6 linked regions of the Cricetulus griseus genome follow. The protein of the gene in region 3 interacts with the protein of the main gene of each other region in a pairwise test. Links are inferred from orthologs where the notes say so. Each region holds a gene or a part of one and is shown on either strand. Other genes may lie near its edges. The genes, in order: Amot, Ushbp1, Med4, Txlna, Kifc3 and Tnfaip8.

What was found.
Region 1: the proteins of Med4 (region 3) and Amot interact in binary tests that used the Homo sapiens proteins (3 or more experiments, as listed by UniProt). The two-hybrid records come from large-scale screens. The link is inferred for Cricetulus griseus from reciprocal best matches to the Homo sapiens genes MED4 and AMOT.
Region 2: the proteins of Med4 (region 3) and Ushbp1 interact in binary tests that used the Homo sapiens proteins (3 or more experiments, as listed by UniProt). The two-hybrid records come from large-scale screens. The link is inferred for Cricetulus griseus from reciprocal best matches to the Homo sapiens genes MED4 and USHBP1.
Region 4: the proteins of Med4 (region 3) and Txlna interact in binary tests that used the Homo sapiens proteins (3 or more experiments, as listed by UniProt). The two-hybrid records come from large-scale screens. The link is inferred for Cricetulus griseus from reciprocal best matches to the Homo sapiens genes MED4 and TXLNA.
Region 5: the proteins of Med4 (region 3) and Kifc3 interact in binary tests that used the Homo sapiens proteins (3 or more experiments, as listed by UniProt). The two-hybrid records come from large-scale screens. The link is inferred for Cricetulus griseus from reciprocal best matches to the Homo sapiens genes MED4 and KIFC3.
Region 6: the proteins of Med4 (region 3) and Tnfaip8 interact in binary tests that used the Homo sapiens proteins (3 or more experiments, as listed by UniProt). The two-hybrid records come from large-scale screens. The link is inferred for Cricetulus griseus from reciprocal best matches to the Homo sapiens genes MED4 and TNFAIP8.

Annotation. Positions count from the first base shown.
Region 1 is NC_048604.1:35,457,639-35,461,138, forward strand, and holds part of Amot (angiomotin), read left to right. Parts: intron 1-315; coding exon 316-766; intron 767-3,500.
Region 2 is NW_023276806.1:247,616,872-247,620,371, reverse strand, and holds part of Ushbp1 (Usher syndrome type-1C protein-binding protein 1), read left to right. Parts: intron 1-24; coding exon 25-150; intron 151-1,386; coding exon 1,387-1,520; intron 1,521-1,660; coding exon 1,661-1,801; intron 1,802-2,122; coding exon 2,123-2,287; intron 2,288-3,252; coding exon 3,253-3,500.
Region 3 is NW_023276807.1:228,022,090-228,024,791, reverse strand, and holds the end of Med4 (mediator of RNA polymerase II transcription subunit 4), read right to left. Parts: intron 2,686-2,702; coding exon 2,599-2,685; intron 2,132-2,598; coding exon 2,000-2,131; intron 1,194-1,999; coding exon 1,021-1,193; 3' UTR 501-1,020; downstream 1-500. UniProt on the Homo sapiens protein: Component of the Mediator complex, a coactivator involved in the regulated transcription of nearly all RNA polymerase II-dependent genes.
Region 4 is NC_048595.1:23,392,968-23,397,081, reverse strand, and holds the start of Txlna (alpha-taxilin), read right to left. Parts: upstream 2,801-4,114; 5' UTR 2,683-2,800; exon of another isoform or gene 2,668-2,682; intron 2,134-2,667; 5' UTR 2,128-2,133; coding exon 1,962-2,127; intron 1,019-1,961; coding exon 680-1,018; intron 1-679. UniProt on the Homo sapiens protein: May be involved in intracellular vesicle traffic and potentially in calcium-dependent exocytosis in neuroendocrine cells.
Region 5 is NC_048596.1:171,341,685-171,345,654, forward strand, and holds the start of Kifc3 (kinesin-like protein KIFC3), read right to left. Parts: upstream 2,801-3,970; 5' UTR 2,674-2,800; intron 1-2,673. UniProt on the Homo sapiens protein: Minus-end microtubule-dependent motor protein. Involved in apically targeted transport. Required for zonula adherens maintenance.
Region 6 is NC_048595.1:188,304,521-188,308,508, forward strand, and holds the start of Tnfaip8 (tumor necrosis factor alpha-induced protein 8), read right to left. Parts: upstream 2,801-3,988; 5' UTR 2,689-2,800; coding exon 2,616-2,688; intron 1-2,615. UniProt on the Homo sapiens protein: Acts as a negative mediator of apoptosis and may play a role in tumor progression.

The sequences.
Region 1 (3,500 bases), on a different chromosome or scaffold from region 3:
ATGCCATGAGCATTACTTTGTACAAGAGGAATTTTAAACGACTGAGCAATGAAGGTGGAGATAGCCATCTTAAGGTTTTCATACTTACCTCAGAGGTTATCTGGTTTCATCTCCAAGGGGATCATAGCTAGTGAGCAGTAGTAGCTGTTGGACAGAGTCACAAAATGTCTCGGTAAGAATGAACTCTAGAGTTCTTTCATGGGGATCTAATTCTTCTTCCTTCTCACTTCTCTGAATTTGGGGGATATCTCCTTGTGTTATTTCATGTGCCTTGGGAGCAAACTTAACCAGAGCTTGCCTTCTGTGTTTTCTCAGGACAACACAGGACATCTCGCTGTCTTTGGCAGCAAGGAATTCTCAGCCTCACAGCCCGACATCTTCCTCTACATCTGGGAGTTCCTTGCTGCAGTCTCCACCATCTACCAGATTGTCTCCTGCTCAACACGCCTTGGTCTCAAACCAAGGTGACCATTCTACTCACCTGCCAAGGCAGCAGCAGCATTTTCTTCCTAATCAGAGTCACCAGGGGGACCACTATCGTCTCTCCCAGTCCACGTTGCCTCCTCCAACAGCACAGCAGCAGCCAGGAGAAGCCTACTCAGCTATGCCTCGGGCTCAGCAGTCTGCTTCTTATCAGCCCATGCCAGCTGATCCTTTTGCCATCGTCTCTAGAGCTCAGCAGATGGTTGAGATCCTCTCTGATGAGAATCGGAACTTGCGGCAGGAGTTGGATGCATGCTATGAGAAGGTGGCGAGACTACAGAAGGTACGGCTCCCCTTAAGGGTCAATAGAGACTTCTTTGAATCATTCTAGTGGGAGTTGTTAAATACCCGTTAAAAAATGTTTCATCTGTGTGTGCTTACTATCTCTTACGGGTAGATCTTTGACATTCTTTTTTTGATGTTGGTCAAACTTTAGAAAAAAAGCTTTATCTGCCTAAGATAACTGCCTTTTACTGTTTTTATTATCATACATTAATGATACAAAATAATGGATTTCATGATAAAATTTTCACACATGCATATCATGTACTTTCATCAGGGTCACTCTCACTTCCGTCTTTTGTCTCCCCCTTTCTTTAAGAGAAGTAACATGTTACATTTATACTAAAAGAAAAATACTACAGATGTTCCAAACTCTATAACTCTTAAGAAAACTTAGTTCATTGTCCTAGTCAAAAAGTCAGCAGATATACTTCTTAATAATGAGTATTAGTAGGTCTGTGCTCATGGAAAGCCCGCCAGCATTTAAACGCTTTTTGTCTTGTTTATATTTTCCCCATATGATTTTGAATCGAGAAAAAAATCCCACCAGCTGAGATTTTGTATGGTTCAGGAAGAGACTGACAGTGTTCTTCCTTGTGGTAGTTTTCTTCATAATTCTTTGACACTAGCCCTCTTCCCCACGTTTGCTTTGGTCTTTCTCCACAGATCCACTTCAACATCTGCTCCTTCTCTGGTGTGTGTGTGTCTGTGTGTGTGTGTGTGTGTCTGGGGGGGGGTGCACAAAAGGGATTTAGCACCACAGCTGGGTGACAGGTGACAGCCCTAGGCAGAGGAAATAGAAAAAGGAATGTGTGTCCCAAATTCCCATTCCTTCTTCTTCCCCTTACCCCCACTGTCTGCTGTAGCTGGGACTTTAGTTTTTGAGGGCCTCAAAGCCCAAATCTCAGTTCTTGCCTTAGTGGCTATTAGTAAATAGAATTATGCATTTGTTAGCTTCTTTGTAGCTTTTGGCCATGCAGAGTTCATGTGGCATGATCTCCTTGCAAACTGTTAAGGAAGTTCGAGGCTGAAGGCGGGGAGGGAAGGACAGTTGCCCTACTCTGTCCCTAAGACATAAGAGTGGAAATTTCAGGGGCCTGCATGAAGCTGAGAACTTGCCAACACCAGATCTTTTACCTAAAAGAGAAGAGGGCTAATTTTCCATAGTTAAGTGGTTTTTATATAGTGAAAAAAAAAATGCCCCCTTTCTCAATTTCCTCAAATCCAGTTGAAGGTTATGATGGATTGAGAGCTATTACTTTGTCTTGATTTTATGTTTTCTTGTCAGTTTGAAAATACCCCTTATTGCATTAATGGTGTACATGTACATGAATTTTGTGTATTGACTAGAAACCCTGTTTAGCTGATTAGACCTCCCCTAACTTTTAATTTGGGTTGGCCTGGCCTCATCTTTGACATAATCACTGGTTACTGAGCTCAGATCTTCTTTGTCAATGATCTCTGGTGACACTTGGAGCTGGGTTGGGTGACTAGTGCAGGGAGCAAAATCGGAATTTTGTTTATTGTTTGGTCCTTGTGCAGATGTATGTCAGAAAATGACAATTATGGCTTGCGCGTCTGCAGAAACAGTTCCAAGCCAATGCTGGGGTTCACAAAAGGTGACAGGAGGGGAGAAGAAAATGAAAGTAGATGGTAGAGCTAGAAAGAAGGAAGGTAGGAGGAAGGGGGAAGGGGGAAGGGGGAAGGGAAGGAAGGAGAAAAAGAAACAGAGGAAGAAAGGAGGACAGACAGAAAGAAAAAGAAAAAGGGAGAGACGAGAGAGAGAGAGAGAGAGAGAGAGAGAGAGAGAGAGTGAGAGAGAGAGAGAGAGAGAGAGCGGGAGAGCAAGCGAGCACTGGAGGCTCCTGAGGACAGAAAGTAGAATTAGCAAGCCCTAACTCCCAACCCACCCCACCCCCACCCCTGCCACTCTCCCTCTGTTTCACCTCTTCCATCACCCACACCGAGTCAGTGAATCTGCCTTTATTGGCCTTTCTGAGAAGGCCTTGTTGCATGGCTCTTTGCAAGAGGACAGTATCTCCACAAGGGAGAGGGGAAGGATTAGCAACACCAGATCCTTCCCAAGCAGGCTGTGCACTTGGAGAAAAGGGACTGTCGTCTAGGTGAGGCTTCTGGGCTGTAAGCAGGAAGCCTCCCTCACTTGCTCTTGGCTGACTCTTGCAGACCAACACCAAGCCTGCTCTTTCAAATGGAAATGTTTATTTTTCTCCTCTCCAGCACTTGAATTTCATGCAAAAGCCTCATCAGGCACAAGCCCTGCAGATCTTGTCTCTAAATGCCATTCACCAGTTTTCACCTTCTGTGCTGCTATCTGGGTGCCATCTGCAAGGAGAACAACACTCTCAAGTCTGCTCTTTTCAGTGCTGTAAGCCTCATTTGTTTGCAGGCAGTCCTGTCTCCAGCAGGATTTTGAAGATGGGGGCAGCTGGAATGGGAGTTGATTGTAACTGCGCTGTGTCTCCTCCCCCATCCTCCATTGGGCGCTTGTTTATTTCACCCCCTAACACACCCTGAGCTTTGTTCAAGAAGAGTGGCAAACTGAGAAGAAATGCAGGGTGGTTACAGGAGGAAGACTTAATTTGAAAATTGCTTAATAGGCCATGGGGTTTATTTGTCTTATACAAATTATATGCAAATAATCGCCGAGGTCATTACACGTGCACTGGAGCTGTACTGGTCACAGAAAACCTCTGGAGTCTGATTTCTTGTTTTCT
Region 2 (3,500 bases), on a different chromosome or scaffold from region 3:
AGTCTGATCCCCCATCACCTGCAGGTGCTGGAGCTAGAGGATTCCCTGAGGCAGCTGGAGGCCTCCCCGGCTGTCCTCCTCCTCAGAGCGGGGCATACCAACAGCAACTCCAGCAGTTCTGGGGCAGAAGGGGAGCCCTGGGTGCCTCAGGTAAGCCAGAAGTCTTTAGAGCATGTCGTGGTGATGTCCTCTGCTTTTCCAGTGTGAGAGGATGGGGGTAAGCTTCAATTTGTGCTTGATGGGATCCCATAGTGTTGTGTGACAAAACTTTTCCTGGGGAGACACTATACACGTCAACTCATCCCATATAGGGAGCCCATGTTACACAAAAGCACAGACACAGCCAAAGTCCAACTTGGTGGTTACATACAGGATTACGGGTGAAGGGTCACCTACAGGAGCTGAAATGACTCAGAGAGCTGCATCACCAAAGCCCACCCCAGCATGGGTGACAGCTCACAAAGCTGGAAGCCTGGAGCACACTGCACAGCCTGCAAATTGGAGTATGCCATTCCAGTGACTGGTCTAAATCTCTTCAGCACAGCTGGTCTGGTCTCTAGTCTTCTTTGCAGCCAATCAGCTGGTCTCTTAAGAACTTTCCTTACTCTGGCAGGGAGGGACCTAGTGAATCTGCTCAGTTTCAGGGACTTCCTGAAACTGTTTGGAGTTGTTTATCATCCTGCCTAAGGAGCAGGTGGAATGTTTCTATCTCAGAGGAAACTGTTAATACAACACATAGTGTGAAAAAAAACCTAAGCAGAGCCTGGAGAGATGGCTCGTTGGTTAGGTGTGCTAGCTGCTCTCACAGAGGACCAGATCTAATGCCCAGAACCCAAATGGCAGCTCACAATCATTAGTAATTCTAGTTTCAGGGGATCTGACGCCCTCTTCAGGGCTCCACAGCCACCAGGCATGCACATGGTGTACACAGAAACTTGCAGGCAAAACACTCACACACATGAAATAAAAATAAAAGAGAAAAAGCATAAAACACCAGATTGGTTGTCACCCCACAGTCACCAGCTGCTTAGGGGCCTGAGACAGAAGGATCGTGACCAATAAATTTATCAAGACCCTGTCTCCAGATTAAAAAATAATAATAAGCATTGGTGAGATAACACAGCTGGAAAGGGCACCTGCTGCCAAGCCTGGTGATCTGTGCTCAATCCCTGGAATTCCCAGAGTGGAACCAGAGAACTGAGTCCCATAAGTTGTCCTTTGACATCCATTCATGTGTCATAGGCATACATCCCACACACGTGTGCATGCACACACACCAAAAACACAAACCAAAGCTGCAGTGGTGCCCCAGATATATAATATGTTCCAGGGCCCTGCAAAAAGGAAGAATGATGGGTAGTAAATCAAGTCATGTACTCCTGGCAGGACTCCCCCTTGGCTCATCCTCTTCTCCAACCCCTCCAGAGTGACTCTAGCACCCAGATCTTTGGGTGCCATTCCAAACATCGTTCAGCCCCCGAGATGCACCTTATAGAAGATCAGATGGAGCAGCTCCAGGGGTGAGTGGCTGAGTCACAGCTGCTGAGCTTTTAAGGGCATCATGCTTCCCGCTACTGGGTTGTGAGGGGGTGGGGAAGAAACTGGGATCTAGCTGATTGGACCCTCACTCATCTTCCCTCTTGCCTGCCTTTGGAGATAGGAGCATTGAGAAGTTGAAGTGCTTCAATCGCCTCCTGCTGGCTGTGCTCCAGGGCTACAAGGGCCGCTGTGAGAGCCTCAGCATGCAGCTGGGCCAGAGGGAGGCTGAGGCCACAGCCCTGCGCCTGGCCCTGCAATATAGGTCTGTGTCTGCTACCAATGATGGTGGTGGCTGGGGACGAAATGGGGCTGCATCCCAGGATGGCCCTATGCAGAGGGACATGGGGACTTCAGAAAGCACACTGCCTCACCATGAGATCTTGTTCTAACCCATAAACTATGGAGGGTGGGAGCTGTCTTTTTGTGGTTTGTTGCTATATATTTATTTGAGACAAGGTCTCACTGTGTAGCGCCAGCTGGCCTGGAACTTGCTATGTAGCCCAGGCTGGCTTTGAACTCACAGAAATCTGCCTGACTTACTGGGTTGGGGCTGAATGTTGAAACACTCAAATGCCATCCACAGTGAGGATTGTGAGGAGGTATATGGGGTGCTGCTTGCTCTGAGGATGGCTGACTCAGGAGCTGGAGATGAAGCCCCCAAGAGTGACCTGCAGGCTGCTGAGAAGGAGGCAGCTAGGCTGCTGGTGGAGAAGGAGGCAGCTATGGATGGAAAGACACCCCAGCCCAGGTACTTACAGGAAGCATAAGAGCTATGGTGGTCCACGGGGTGGGGTGGGGCATGTCCCAGAGCCTGCTACATATAGGATTTTGATGTCATTGTCACTGTCACTGCCCAGGGAGGTGCTGAGTTCATCATGGCTGGCACCAGGCCTGACTGGAGTGTGTTAGTTACTCAGTGGTGCTTAGTTTGCCTGACACCAGGTGTGGTGACAACATGCCTTTGATCCCAGCACTCAGGAGGCAGAGTTTGAGGAGTTCAAGTCCAGCCTGGTCTACATAGCAAGTTCTAGGCCAGCCTAGACCTTGCCTCATATGTGTGTGTGTGTGTGTGTGTGTGTGTATACATATATATGTGTGTATACACACATATATATATACATATATACATACATACATACATATCTTATACAAAGTACCAATTGCCTTGCATAGATGCACAGACCCTGGTTTCAACCTCTAAAGCAGGGGGGGAAATCAGTGAAGAGAAAAATTATTAATTTTGGTCAATCCATCATGGCAACAGGAAGTGGGAAGCAGAGCTACAGGAAGTGTCCGGGGCATTGGTGAAGCCCTGTGTGGACTTGACAGGGTTAGCAATACAGCTCTAGGTACTGTCCATCACAGTGCTGGTGAGCTTCTGGTTTTGTCTCTGCACTGCCAGTGCAGCCTCAGTGTGCACGGAATTAAGTTCAAAGTCCCCTGGTGGCCTGATTAGCATGTAGGCTCCACCACCTGGCTATGTAACTGAGGGTGATGCTCCTGCCTCCATCTCCTGAGGCTGGGTTGTATATATGGTACCTCACGAATGCAAGCTCTCTATGGACTGAGCAACAAGCACTCTACTGACTGAGCCCCAGCACCTGCCATATTATCTTGCTGGAAGATTGCCCAGCTGGCACAGGACTGTGGTGGCTCCTCGGGCCGTGTCTTGGGAACAGCTGTATAACACCTGTCTCCACCTGTCTCCTATAGCCCAGGGGGCAGCAGTGTTGACAAGCCTACGCCACAGGAACTAGCTGCTCAGCTCCATGGCTATGTCCAGCGTCTCCGGGAACGCTGGGCTCTGGTGAAGATCCCTCCACCTCTTGGCCCTGCCACGGCACCCAGGCCCACTATGCCCCACACAGAAGCAACAGTTCAGGCCATTCTGGAGATACAGCCTGGCCCAGCCCTGCCCCGGCTAGAGAAGTCTGAGATCCAGCAGAAGCTGGTGGCTATTC
Region 3 (2,702 bases):
GGGTCTTCTGGAGTCCTCAAGAACTTTGCAGGACAACAAGGCCAAAGGTTGGTTGGTTGCTCTCCCCCAACCCTTCTATTTTAAAACCTTCCATGAAATTGTGTGTCTGTGTGGTATGGGATTGTAATAAATGTTTTCAATTATTAATGTTCTCAGAAACCTAATTGTGATTACTAGTTAAGATATAGTCATTTTATCTTGTATTTTCTGATATATAACAGAATCTTACTTGAATATTATAAAATGCAACTGAATTTTTTTGTTTTTCAAGACTGGTTTCTCTGTGTAGCCTTGGCTGTCCTGGAACTGGCTTTGTAGATCAGGCTGGCCTCCAACTCACATCTGCCTGCCTTTGCCTGAGTGTTAGAGTTAAAAGCATGTGCTACCACTGCCCAGCTTAGATGCAACTGGATTTAAGTAAATTTCCTTCTTATACTGAAGGGGTACCAAAATACATACATACATACATACATACATACATAAATCAGACAACAGGAAAATTAAAAAATAAACAAAAGCAAGTTTATTTATACAAATTACAGTATTTACCACATATAAATAGTGATAGTTCTGTCGCTGCAACAGCAGCCGACTCTCAGGTGAGCACTTTCACTTTGAAATACCACACTCAGAGCCCCGCTGCCTTTGTGCTGGCCCGGACTGCTCTGTAGCCCTGATGGCTCAGAACTTACTATGAAGGTCTCACAGCAATCCCTGTCTCCCTGGTGCTGGGATTATAGGTATGAGCCGCCACGCCTGGCTTGGTGCCCTTTCAAGTCATTCCCGAGAGTTGTGTCATTCTCCTGCAGCCTCACTTCCAGAGCTGCTATGTGCAAACCAAAGTAGTAATGCTGACTAATCCTCACACGTTTGCCTAGCAGATGAGACAAAATGGGGGGGGGGGGCATTGAAAAGAACCCCAAATGGTTTTCAGTGGGCTGCTCCTTAGAGGTCTGGGGTTTACATGTCCCTCTTGTCAGGGCTCTGCAGCACTAGTCTGTGCGTGCTCTCACGCCTTCTTCAGTCAGAGTCGCTGCTGCTGCTTGAAGAGTCTGTTGACATAACCTCCACATCATCTTCATTTTCCTTGTTGTGCCCAGGAGGCTCCAACAGAAAGTCACTGCTGTGATTTGGTGGTAGCATGTTCACAGACATGTCATTTGACTGCCATGGGTACTGTGGAGCAAGGACATCTGGAGGAAAGAAGCATGGGGATCAGTTTACTTGTAATCCATCTACTTGTCAATCACCCTCCCTTTATGCAAGTAACTTAATTCTATCTACCCGCCTACCTTGTAGTACCAGAGGTCTAACAAGATAGGGGCCCATCCATGCTAAACACACACAAACAACAAATTATGTCCATTATACCCCAGCCATGGGTCCTGTGCCATGGTCCTATACATAATAGCTATTCATCCATATCTGTTACTAATTAATCCTTTCAACTTTCCTACTCAAATTACTGGTGTTGTTTGTCTTAAAAGGATTATAACCAACAGTGTAGTATAACTGCAATGAGAAAGACAAGGAATGTCTGGGAATTAATAAGCACAGAGTTCCCAAATCCACACTTTAGTACAGAAGAGATAGCTAAAGCTAAAAATGGGCTTCAGAAAGCATAGCCCCCACTCATGTCCTTTCTCTTTAGAAAGATCCTTTTACATTACAACATGGCACCTACAAAAATGCTTAGTCTATCTGGGGAGCACGCCTCATGATGGAAAATGTTCTTCGTTGTCATCAAGGAAAGCTCCTGTGCTGGGGGGAGGGTGGCAGGAGATGCACATGGGGACAGCTTAGGCTCATGTCATGCAATGCCACTGCAGGGTCTTTGGCTAAAGCAAGCACAGAATAACAAACTGGCAGGGACCCTGGACAAACAAGTAGATGAATAAGGCTGGGCCTGGGATCTCAAGAGTTCGATGTTAGACAACGCCTCGCTGGCACCTCTGAAAACCCTTGGTCTGCTTGAAAACACCCTTCCTGTCAGCATTACCTGGCAGTCTACCTGCTGCAAGGGCATCCCCTGGGAGATGGCCATTCACACCACTCGTGGAAGGGTTGTTCATCTGACCCAGCAATCCACTTCTCATCTCTAAATCAGTTGGGTACGGCCTCCGAGGGTCTCCTAAAACAACAATGAAGGCAGCTTTTTAACTCAAGTTTAAAAAAACAAAAGATAAGTTCTTTGAAGTATTAACTTTCCTTGGTGCACACTGAAAGCCTCAAGCTCTTTGTGAGACAGGGTTTTCACTATGTAGCCTATGCTGGCCTCAAACTTGCAATCCAGCCTCGGCCTCTCCAGGTGTTGCCTTTACAGTACCACACCTAGCCTGGCTGCATTGAAAATTCTCAAGCTGGGCATGGTCCATTAATCCCAGCTCTCAGGAGGCAGAGGTAGGCGAATTATAGCAATCTCAATTCTTCCAACTTAATTCTATTTCCTAGTAAGAAACATCAACAATGATACATCCTCTTGAGAGATGCCACAGAGGGCATTACTAGGACACTGAAAAAAAATGCCTAGAGATGTTGTTTTAGAGAAGTACATTCTACATTTAAATAGTTTTAATCTGACATAAGAAGCAATGTTACCTGGAACCCAAGTCAGTGGTGCACACACAGCATTGCTTGCACTAATCCTATGTGCATATTTAATGATTTCTTCTGAGGAGATAGCACCTGAGTTGAGAAAATAG
Region 4 (4,114 bases), on a different chromosome or scaffold from region 3:
TAAATGAGATCTGGTGCCCTCTTCTGATATGCAGGCAAATATGCAGACAGAATACTGTATATGTAATAAGTAAATAAATTTAAAAATAAAGAAAAAAGAAAAGAAAGCAAGGAACTCAGCCGGGCATTGGTGGCGCACGCCTTTAATCCCAGCACTCGGGAGGCAGAAGCAGGTGGATCTCTGTGAGTTCGAGGCCAGCTTGGTCTCCCGAGCGAGTGCCAGGATAGGCTCCAAAGCTACACAGAGAAACCCTGGGGGGGGTGGAGGGGGGGAAGGCAGGGAACTAAACAGGTAGAAGTTAATTTTTTGGATAAAGTAGACCCTCTCTTCATTCTCAAGAGGTTCATGGTTTACCTGGTTAATGTTGACATTTGAGATCTTTACCTTGGTGTAGCCCAATTTTGTTGCTTTCTAAATAGGGAAACTAAGACCCAGGAGTGGAGCATGAACATGTCCACAGGAAAAGAGCAGGTTGCCTTCACTTGCTTCCAAGGACAAGAGGCCTTGCCCAGGTGAGCAATCTGAACAGCTCAATGCTGTTACTCCACAGTCATGGCTTTGACTAAACTGGGGGATGTTCTGTTTTGAGAAGCAGATTCCTTTGAGTTCTGACAGAGCAGGCTAGCTCATGAAATGACAGGTCTTAACTCCCTCCCCTCACCAGTAGCTGCCCTCTCACCCAGACCCTTGGCTTTCTTCTTTTCTTGTGGCCTTCGGTGGTCTCGGTCTCCAACCTCATCACTTGCTCGGACCTCTTCTGAGCCTGGCTCCCCCTTGGAGGTTTCCTTCTCGCCATTGATGACTGGAATCCCTGGTTCAGGCTCCCCATTCCTTGCTGCATAGGTTCGGGACTTCTCTGCATCTTCCGGCTCAGTAGGCTCACCCTGTGCTCCCTCCTCGCCTGGGCCTCCCTGATTGTTGTCTACACAGTATGTACTCAGAATGTCTTCCAGCTGCCGGCTCAGCTCCTCAGACACATCACACAGGGGCCCAGACTTGGCTGCTTTAGCTTGAGCCCCTACAGCAACAAGATTAGGACACAGAATGAAAATAAGATGGTTACATCCCTGGCTTGAACTTTCTTTTTCTTTAACCCTAGACAAATACACTAGTTTGGGATAAATGTTGTTTTATTTGGTTGAGACACGATCTCTCTACAGAGCCCTGACTGTCCCGGAACTATGTAGACCAGGCTGCCCTCAAAGTCAGAGAGCTACCTGCCTCTGCCTCCCAAGAGCTAGGACTAAAAGAGAGGGCCACTACGCCGAGCCTCAGTTTAATTTTTTCAAACCTTAAGTTTACTTTGTTATAAAATGATACAATTATTATCACCCAAACATACTTCTTATGACCATAAAAGACAATTATGGCTGGGAAGTAATAGTGCTAGCCTTTGATCCCAGCACTTGGGAAGCAGAGGCAGGTGGATCTCTGTGAGTTCAAGTCCAGCCTGGTCTACAGAGTTCCAGGGCAGCCAGGGCTACACAGAGAAACCCTGTCTCAAAAACACAAAACCAAACAACCAAACAAAAAAGACAACTATGTAGATAAAGCACCACACCAGGGTTGGGTGGCATGTAGTAGAGACTCCACCTCTAATTCCTTTTTTTCCTACTCAAAACGCATTTTTGGTTATTTTTATAGTTCCAGAAATGTCTCAAGTATGAAGGACAATTACCCCCCCCCCACACACTGGCAAGTGTTTTCTGGGAACATGACTTTGTTTGTGGGGTGCCTCAGTTGTCATTTAATTTAAACCAGTCAGAGCATGCTCCCAAGGTTCCATTCCAGGGCTAAGGGAGGGAAGCTTCATCACCTGCCTGGGAAACACGAGACCCACACAGAATGGGTATTGTTTCATTCCATAGTTCCTCCTTCCTGGGTAAACACTGGCCTCAGCACCGAGGCCAGTCCCAGAAACTCCTCCCTCTGCCCACTGGAAAAGCAGAGCAGGCACACACCCTCGGTCTTCCCAGGAGCCTGGTTTGTGGAACCTTCAGCCTCCGCCGCAGGAGCTGTCTGTCTGGGCCGTCCCTGGGCTCCCTCTGGTGCCGCTTCCCGTTGCCCGGGGCTGCTCTTCGGGTTGGAGTGTTTGGCAGGCCCATTCTTTTTGTCTTGGTTCTTCATTGTGATCTGCAAAGGCAGAAAACGGGTAGATCCTTTGAAGACGACACAGTTGCTATTTTCAAGACTTCAAAAAATTTCACAACCTAGATCAGAAATCCCAACGCCAGGCGCTCCAAGCTTCAAACAAACTGGCCGGCCTTGGCGGAGACTCGAGGGTCCCTGCAGGGAGGGTGTCGGAGGAGCTGGCCCTGAGGAGAGTGAAGAAGAGGCCTCCTTTCTCCCGAAAGCCACTTCCCAGCAGCACCACTCCGCTCCCTCTCGGAACGCGAGCGCGGGATTGGCTCCCCGCCGCACGATGACGTGGCGGGACGCTCCAGCCCCCACCGGCCCCCGGCCCGGCCCCACGTGGGACCCCCGGGCGCGCGCGCCCGCCCGCCCGCCAGCCCGCGCGGAAGCCACCCACACCCCGCGCGCCCTCTAGCCCCACGGACGCATGCGCAAGGCGGCGACATCGCCACAGACCCCCGCACGGAATTAGTTATTCCTCTGCAGCCAACGCAAGCTGGGCCACAGACCCTCAGAAGAGCTCGTCCCACCTACCGCCAACAGACGTACCTCACCACGGACGTCCGATGGCGTCCCCCGCTCTGGCCGGGCACCGGAAACCCGGGTAACCGCTGCCAGCAGGACCGCCCGCTCCTGCCGCAGCCAATGAAGAGCTAACGCTGGCGCGGAGCTTGCTGGGAAAGACGAGGCCAAGGTGGCTTTGGAGTCGTGAGCGGGAACGAACTACGAGTCCCTTCATGCATTGCGGCGGGGCACAATTCCCGAGATGCCTCCCTTTTTAGGGTCTCTACCCGCTGCAGGTCTGAAATTCTGCAGTACAGTCTAGAGATTCCCGTCAGTATCCTTTCGAGTGCAGAAGCTGTGATTGGCGCTTGGCTGTTTGTTTCATACGCTTCTCCATTGATCCCTGTGGACGTGTATGACTGTTTCTAGGACCTCTGAGGACTCGAAGAGGGATAGAAGGCTGAGCTGGGAATTAGGAGACCTTTGTTCCACTCCTAAACCAGTAATTTGTCATGTGCCTGGCATTCTATCCCCCCCCCCATTCCAACAGAGGGGTTTTGTTTTTGTTTTGTTTTTGGAGACAGGGTTTCTCTGTGTAGCTTTGGAGCCTATCCTGGCACATCCTGGAGACCAGGCTGGCTTCGAACTCTCCTGCCTCTGCCTCCCAAGTGCTGGGATTAAAGACGTGCGCCACCAAAGCCCGGCGTCACTGTCTTCTCTTATTCTTTTTTTTTTTTTAAGATTTTATTTATTTATTATGTATACAACATTCTGCTTCCATGTATATCTACACATGAGAAGAGGGCACCAGATCTCATAGCAGATGGTTGTGAGCCACCATGTGGGTGCTGGGAATTGAACTCAGCACCTTTGGAAGAGCTCTTAACCTCTGAGCTATCTCTCTAGCCCCTGTCTTCTCTTCTTGTATCTAATAGCTTGGCCCTCATAATTACTCGGAGAAAGTACAGGATACTTTGTGATCTAGGAAATATAGGACAGTATGGAAAAGGCGAGATGGCTTTTTTAATTGCTTGCTGTCTGTTGGAGACAATGTTTCCTTATGTGTAGCCTTGGCTGACCTGGAGCTCCCTATGAGGATCAAACTGGTCTTGAACTAAAGACAAAGGCGACCATGCCCAGCTAAAGGTTATATAATCTAAGGCTGCATCAATATTGAGTGGTAATAGCAGATTCAAAGCCAGAAGCCTGACACCAGCACCCATCTTAACCACTTTCTTCCCAGAAGAAATAATCGCCGTCACAGGCTTTCTCTGAGGCAGTGTACTGGACACCTCTGTCATCACCAGCTTGGCAGTAGCTCTCTCAGGAAGGGATTGTAGCAGAGGGAGTTTGGCTTCCGGCAACTTGGTGAACTCCCACTCCATCACCGCTGCTCCACTTTCTGCAAAGTCTCTTGTGCTTGCACACGGGCTAAAGTTTTAAAAAGTAGGATTTTCTTGTCTTTGCTTTTCTTTAT
Region 5 (3,970 bases), on a different chromosome or scaffold from region 3:
ATCTCCTGCCAGGCAGCAAGAACATGTGTTGAACTGGGTCTGTCTCTCTCACCCTCTCTGGCTCCCTGCGAGTGAGAGGCATGCATGCATGCATGTGCGCACGCGCGCGCGCGCGCGCGCACACGCACACACACACACACCCCAAAGCCAGGAAAGGAGGACCGGCTAGCCACTAAGACTCAGAACTAAAGGCCACGACTGCTACAGGTAAGGACGAAATCAGCAAGGTTGACCAAGATGGGAGACAGTATTAAGTAAGGACAAGGCTGGGGTGAAGAGGGCGTGGAGGGGTGGGAACAGTAACTGGAAGAGGGAGGAGGTCAGAGAGGTGGCAGGAGCTGCCTATGTCATGCACAGAGTCCTCAGAAGAAGCTGGGCAGATAAGTAGGATAGTCAGGTGGTCATGGCAAAGCCAAAGAAAGCCCTAGAGAATTCTGGGTGGGGGGTTATACCTACCATCCCAGCACTCAAAGGTTGCAGGTTCTAGGCCAGCCTAGGCTGCAAAGCAAGTTCAAATTGGCTCAAGGAATTGGAGAGGGCCTAGAAGGCAGCTGTTTTCTTCTTTGGGGGAAGTTTAGCGACGATGGTTAGGAGAGGAACTGAGACAGGGGAGAGGTGGCATTGTGGGGTAGACAGAGGTGCAGGAACAAAGCATCTAGAAGCAAGGTGGGGAGAAAAGAAAGAGTCTGGGGTCAGAGACTGATGCTCACGGGGTCAAGTACTGAAGACAGTGGGGTCGTGGTCTCTTCCTTCCTTGACTGAAGACAATGTGGGGTACACAATGAGAGGGGGACAGGAATGTGGGACAAAGGGTAAGGAAGATGCTGACCCATATAAGTAGCCTCACAGCGCTGATGCCTTGAGATGTGTGTAAGGGGGAAGAAGCAAGAAGAATGGATACAAATGTCCTCTCCAGGCTGACTGGCACAGAGCTGGGCATAGAGCCAACCCTATAGCCAACGGGGGATGATGAGAGGACCGTCCTCTGCAGGTGCTCCTACAGGGGAGACCACGTAGGACAGAGGATTGATTCTAGGGGACATCAGCTCAGTCTAGGAGGTAGAGGCTGGAGACCATATTTCTGTGCCAGCAGGACGGGAAGTTGGAGAGGCAGCCTGAAGAAAGAGGAAGGGTGTGTGCTAGATCCCCAAGAGGAAAAGGCAGCTGAATTTAGCAGCTGGAAACCCTGGTGTGAGGTCAGGAATATCAGGGAATCTCAATCAAGCCCAGGGTTCTACACCGAGACAGCAGCGCAGGCTCTCCTACACAGGTGTCTTATCTGGGGTCCTGGAGCCTCTACTAATCTGGAATTCATGGAGTAGATCTATGAGAGTGGTCCAGGCCTTGGCCCTGCCACCTATGAGAATTAATCACCTAGTCTTTGTCTTATCACCTCCATGTATAAAATGGTGAGAGCTGCACTTCATAGGACCGGCATGAACATCAGACAATACATGTGTGAAGTGTACAAAGAGCTCAGAATGCTATCTTTTGGTGTACTGTCCCATTAGTGGGTGAATGCAGAGGCACATTGGGGGAGGGGTATGTGTCTCTCTGGGTTTAGGCCAGGATGGTAGAGCTGCCTTCCTCCTGCTCTAGACCAGAGACAGTGCAAAGACTAGGGGTATACTTCATAGTCGCTTATACACCACTGCTGGAGATAGCCTGGTTCTCCTGGGTGAGCATTTTGGGGTGGCTAGACTGGGCTAGGGTTTCCCTGGCACACAGAACATATTCTGGGTAATCCAGATGTCAAATTCCCTGCTCCCTGGAACCCATCCGGACAGCAGAACTCACCACCCCAAATCCTGAAGTCCAGCCCCACAAATACACAGAACCATTTTGGGGCTGCATTCCTAGCAAATGACTCTCTCTGGCCAAGGAGACGCCCCTTTATGAAGGGCACAGGGGAAAAAATCCTACCAGGCCAGAAAGGGCACTCGCCCAGTCTGGGGCAGAAGGACACTAAGGAAGGTGAAGCTAGGGGTAGTTCCAATGCCCAAGCTTGACATATGCATTAAAGAGGGTGGGATGGGGTGACAAATGTACTTAAGAATTAAAATCCAGTTTCCTCTTTAAACTGTCTCAGGACTGGGCCTTTCACTGTGTCGGCCAGAATTCCGTTCTTACTTGCAGTAGGAAGGCTGAAAGGGGACAGACAGCTTCTGGGCTCCCCCTCCCTGCCGGGATTCCTCAGCTGCAGCTGTCAATGACTTGATTCGTCTGGGCTTGTGAGGGTTATCTCCGATGCCTTTCCTCCTAACCTAGGGACTGGCGCACCCCACCTTGGGCCTGGCCAGAGAAAGCAACTACCCAGGGACCCAGAGGGAGGGCCAAACTGCAGCCTTCCTGGGAGCGACCCATGCAGGGGAAGGGGGCGCGCTGGCTGACACGCAGCTCCCAGGTAGGCTCTGCACATTCCCCACCAATGAGATCCAAAGCGAGTCCAGGCAGCGCGACCCCAAAGGCCGTGCCACCCTCAAGCCCAGCGAGATTCTTCAGCTGGAGGATGCAACGGGACCCCACGCACAGCCGGGTCTCTCTCGGGCCCGGACGCCGCGCCCTCCGTAGATCGGGATAGAGGGGTCCCCGGGCAGGGTGGGCGCGGTGCCCACCAGACGCGCTAGGGGAGCCGGTCCCAACCCGTCCTAGCCTGCCCGGACCCCGACTCACCGGCCTAGCGGAGACAGGATCACAGCGTCGCCGCAGAGCCCAGGGCTCGGCCAGCTACGGCCCGCCCTCGCGAGGCTGCTCCACGCCGCCGCAGCTGCCGCCGCCTCCTCCTCCTCGGCCCGCCCCGCGCCCGCCCCTCCCGCACTTTCCACAGGAAATGATTAACTCAGGCCGCGGCGCGTTTCCATGGCAACGGGCTCGGGAGGGGGCACGCTCACTCTCGCGCACGCGCCTGCCCGGGGCGCATGCCCCTTCTACTCCTACCCCCAACACAGGCTGATAAAACTTCTGCGCTCTCCCTCTGGTGCACGCGCCCCAGCACACCTGCCTGCGCCTTTGGAGAAGGCTCACGCCAAAGTGCCTGCACACACCGCAGTGCCTGCACACTTGCCCTTACCCAGCCTGCAGGAACGCAGGCCTCGCCTTCCCACCCAGGTGTTAACATTTGGTTACACTCACCCTCAAATGGTTGGCACTCTGCCCCTAATCCAGGTGCAGAAGTTTCACACACTCCAGCTAAGATTCACACACATCCGGCACACAGAATAACATTTTAAGAATGCATTTTTTTCATTCTAGCACACTCACGCATGCTCTTGCACACGAGATCAAACATATACACACGTTGACCTGTTCTGGTACACGGGCATGCACTCTCTCTGTCTTGGTCCTGCCTGCCATACTGTCTCTCCAGCTGCGCCCCTGCTCCCCAGCCAATGAGCATCTTCTTGAGAAGCCTGCTTGGGGTTCCTTAAGGTAACACATTCCCTTAAGCTCCAGCCAAACAGCTCAGAGTGCAACAGCCCCCAATCTGCCTTAAGCGCTCCTCCTGGAACGCCTGGGAGCCTCAGAAGAAGCCTGGGGGAGAGCAGGCCCAGCCAGGCAAGAGAGACAGCTGACCCAGAGGAACCACTCTGTTCTTTGTCTCCCAAACAGAGAAGCATTTATTTCAGCCACAGTGTGCCCACTCGACGGTGCGGAAGGAGAAAGTGGTGCAGGAGCCTAACCAGCAGAAGCTGATGATCCCCAGAGAACCTCCGAAGCAAGCAGCAAGCATGGGGGGTCTGCCCCTTCTGGCTTGGCAAGGATGGCTTATGAGGGAACAGTTCAGATGAGCTGTTTCCTGCTTCTGCTGCTGAGACATGCGACTGGGAGTCAAGAATCTGAACCAAGACAGGCACAAGGGTTTAGGCCCCAGCTGGAAGCATGCATTGTCTCCTTTATTGGAGGCTCTTTTCATAGGGTAGGGGGTTGTCTGTCATTAAAGTTTGAGTATAAAAGCAGAAACATTGTCTTG
Region 6 (3,988 bases), on a different chromosome or scaffold from region 3:
TGCAAGCAGAAGATTGTCTAATGGCCACCATGCTCATGGTGGGGACTGGTGAGGCAGTAATGACCTATGTTAGGTGGTAAAGGGAAGTGGTTGGTGTGGGCAATGGAGGAGAGAGTGGTACTCACTTGCCTGCCAGCCCTTAATTCTCTCCCAGGTCCTCACAAAGCAATAATAGCTTTTGCATTACCACTACTGAAACCCCGATTGATTTCCAAGGCAAAGGAATCTTGGATTCTTCAGTGCTTATGTCTAACTCATCCTCAGTGATCTCAACTATCATTCATTTTTACTACTTTCATAATTAAGCAATGTATTCAACAGGAAGCAACTAAATGCCAAATATGTGGATATTAATTGTCTCCTCAGGAAGCCTGTATCCACAGGAAACTGTTGATATCCTCTTTTCAAAGGCATTCTCCTCCTTAATAAACTGGCTACTTCCCATTTACTTTATGTCTAAATATCTTAAATGCTTTTCCTTTTTCATATAGCAGATCCTGGATTGTTTTTATCACTTTAAGCTCAGTCACTTACCTACCGACAAGCAGGCAGAATGAAAGCATTTCTTTAGGTGACTATAGGCGGGAGCTACTGCTGGCACAGAGTCAAGTGCATTCTAAGCTATGAAAGCTGAACAATCTCCCCAGTCACAGTCGTCGACACTCATGCACATGCATAAATAAATTGGCCTCTAAGGGCTTCTACATCTGATGGTCTTTTTTCCAGATTCAACCCCAATGAAAGTACACTAGTCTCTTACTAGGGTTTGGAATAATGAATCCAAAGTATCCACCACTACAACAGATTGGATATGAAGCATCCAAAGGCAACTTTCTTTCAATTCAGACAGTATGAAGGGCTCTTGGTGACCTCTCACTAAACAAGATAGACAAGTCTGCCACCAGGGAAAAGAACCCCATAAACTGTAAGTGAAGGGAGGTGAGAAGGTTAGAACCCACAAAATACCAGCCTGGCACGCGCGCGCGCACACACACACACACACACACACACACACACACACACATCCTAGAAGAAGTGTCAATCAGTCTGGTCATTAATTTTCCTCAGACTTAGTTAAAAAAGAAAATCTTACCCTAACTTCTATCAATTTAAAATTCTAGCAGCTCAGATTGATTCAAAAGAAACACATATTCTGAGCTTCCTCTAAAATGCAGAGAGCAAAGCCTGTGTGTCAGGTAGCTACTGCAGGCAAGGGCAGATAAGGAATGGAAGGAGTGAAAGGTGCCCACTACACCACAGTTTCCATGTTGCTGCTTGCAAACTCACAGCCAGAGCCAGCAAAGAGAGGGGAGAGTGTGGATTGTTGCTAGAGGGAGGCTTAATACAGTTGACCTGGCAGTTTTTCACTCCCCCCTCCACTCCTTTCCCAAAAGACAGGGAATAACAGGCCCGGAAGAAAATGTTAATCTAAGCGCTGTGCAATTTACAAAAAAGTTCAAGAGTGGTTTCTCAGTCCAGTTCCAATTTCCTTTTGACTCCGCGTAAATTGCACAAAACAGAACAAGAAAACACACATCCGCACTCTCTGTTGGTACAGGGGCTGCTGCTACAGGGAAACACTCCTCTCCAAAGCTGTCACTTTTCATGCGGGCTGGCCAGTATTTCTATTAAACAAGCCCCTTTCAATTGACAGTTTCTCTCACACACATTGCTAGGTACATGGGCCACACGGAAAGCCTACATTGCAAAACGCAGAAGGTTCCTTGCTCAGCCCGAGCTGTGACTGACTTGTAAGTTAGCAGTCTCCCAAGAAGCTACTTGAAAAGAAAGGGGGATTTCACAACCTTGAACTCCCCCCACCCGTCTAATTTTCCCCAACCACCCCGACTCCAACCCCCATTCACAAGTGGACTTTTGTATATATAAAGTTCCAGGAAACAAAGCACACAAACACTCACACACAAATAAACTCCCAAGCTAACACCAGCTATAATAGTGTTTTGGTTGGAGCTTTTCCAGCCCTGTCACCAGCTCTGTTAGCAGTAAATGAAACTCTTGCTTTTCCAAAGACAGAAAGGGACAAACTTTCCTATTTCAAATGGTAAAAAGGCACCCTCACATCTTCCAGTCCCCAGCAAAACCAACTGCAGAAGAGGTAGCAAGGAAAAAATAAATAAATAAAAACCGAACATATCCCCCCCCCCCAAAAAAAAAAGATCTTTCACTTCTCTCCTCATCCAGCTTCCTCTTTTACCCGGAAATGCATGTCCCTTCCAATTTCTGACACCCCTTTTCAAGGGACCCTGACTTGGACTCTTCCTGGGAATCCAGCTTTGGGCTGTCCCCAGGCAGGCGGACAGGCAGCCCATTCCAGGAGCGTTTTGTATTCTTAACAGTGAAAGCCCGCTTTCTCCTTTCGAGAGAAATCTGAAAAGCAGCTTTGGTGGGCTGGCTTGGCTAGGTTTGATGCTGGATCCCTTGTCCCTTAACTGCCCGATTAGTGGGACAGGGCTGCTCCCTGGACTCTCTTGAATCCAGCCAGCCTGAGGAGAGACAAAGTTCCCCACTGCTCGCTAGTTGCTCCCATCAGCGCCTGCTCCCGCCTTCCTCCACATTCCTGCGCTGAAGTTGGCTGAGCCCAGCGGCTGGCGTACCTTCCTTGGGCTCCTCCACCTCGGAGAGCATGCTGTCGGGGTGCACAGCCACAGGCGCCACCACCGCGGACATGGACGTGAGGCTGCGAGGCTCCGGGACGAGTGTGATGCGCGCAGGCGGGACGCGGTGGGAGGAAGCCGCTGAGATCAGAACCTCCCGGGGCGGGCGGCTGGCTGCGGGAGGGATTTTCAGGGGAAAGTTCCGCAGGAGTGACGAATCGCGCGGGGCTGGGCCACAGCAGTCCGCCCCCGAGGGGCCGCCGCGGGTGGAGGAGACCCCGGCAGGTGGGGCCCAGCGCAGGAAAGGTGCCCTGGAGAGAAGTGCACCGGGACAAGCTTGCGCTGCATTTGGGAGGGGTGTGGAGAGTGACATTTTTGACATTCCCCGTCTTGAGTTTTTACATGGCCCGATTTATGAAAACCCTTTCAGGGCTGTTGTATTTCAGGCTAGTGATACAGATGCTGTGAGAACATTTGGAAGGGTCCCGTTCACAGGGCACAAACTTCACCAGCGCCAGAAATGGCCTCTAAGGAAAGTAGGACAGGCGAGGCAGAAGCCCCCTATGCATCGCTGGCTCCCTCTAACCAAGCTGCTGGTCCCTAAAGACCTCTCTGGCTTTGGGAAATGCTGACTGACAGAAGATAAACGGGCAAAGGGCAGGAGGGCCCAGGGAACAGCAACCATCCTGCCCTCCCCTCCCCTCCCGTCCCCACCTGGCTCTTACCACCAAAGTCCTCTTAGCTCTGGGTGGCCCCTGTTTGCCCTTCAGAGAGGTGGGCACAGCCGCTTCCACTGGCCTCCCTGTCTTGCGGGGTATTTATTTTATCAAACCTTGTTTTAGCACCAACCCTAGGGTGAGGGGCCTCAAGGAACCTGAAAGGAAACAGCCAATGGGAAGGAATCCCCAGCTGGAGATTGTGAGGAGAGGTACATTCTTTAAGAAATGTATTTTCCAGCTGCCCTCCTTCTCCTTATATCTTACTTTTATATGGGGAGAGAGCGGTCCAGGACCTATGCTAAATTTAATGAAAGGATTATGCAAAGTGCCCATGTTTTTCAAATCTGGGTTTAGATTTAGTTCTGCTATTTATTATTTATATGGCCTTAAGCAAAATAATAATTAATAATAATTAACCCCTCAAGCATCCATTTGCTCATCTATAAAACACAGATAAAAACAATATATAATTCACACATTTGGCTGGTATTGCAGAAGGTACTATAAACAAAGTGGCTTTCCGCCGACCGACCCAGGAACTAGAGTCCTCATCCAGTGGCTGATGGAAGCAGAGACAGACATCCACAAATATACACTGAGCTGAAATCTGGAATTTAGTTGGAGAGAGAGAGGAATGAAGAGCGAAGGGGTCTG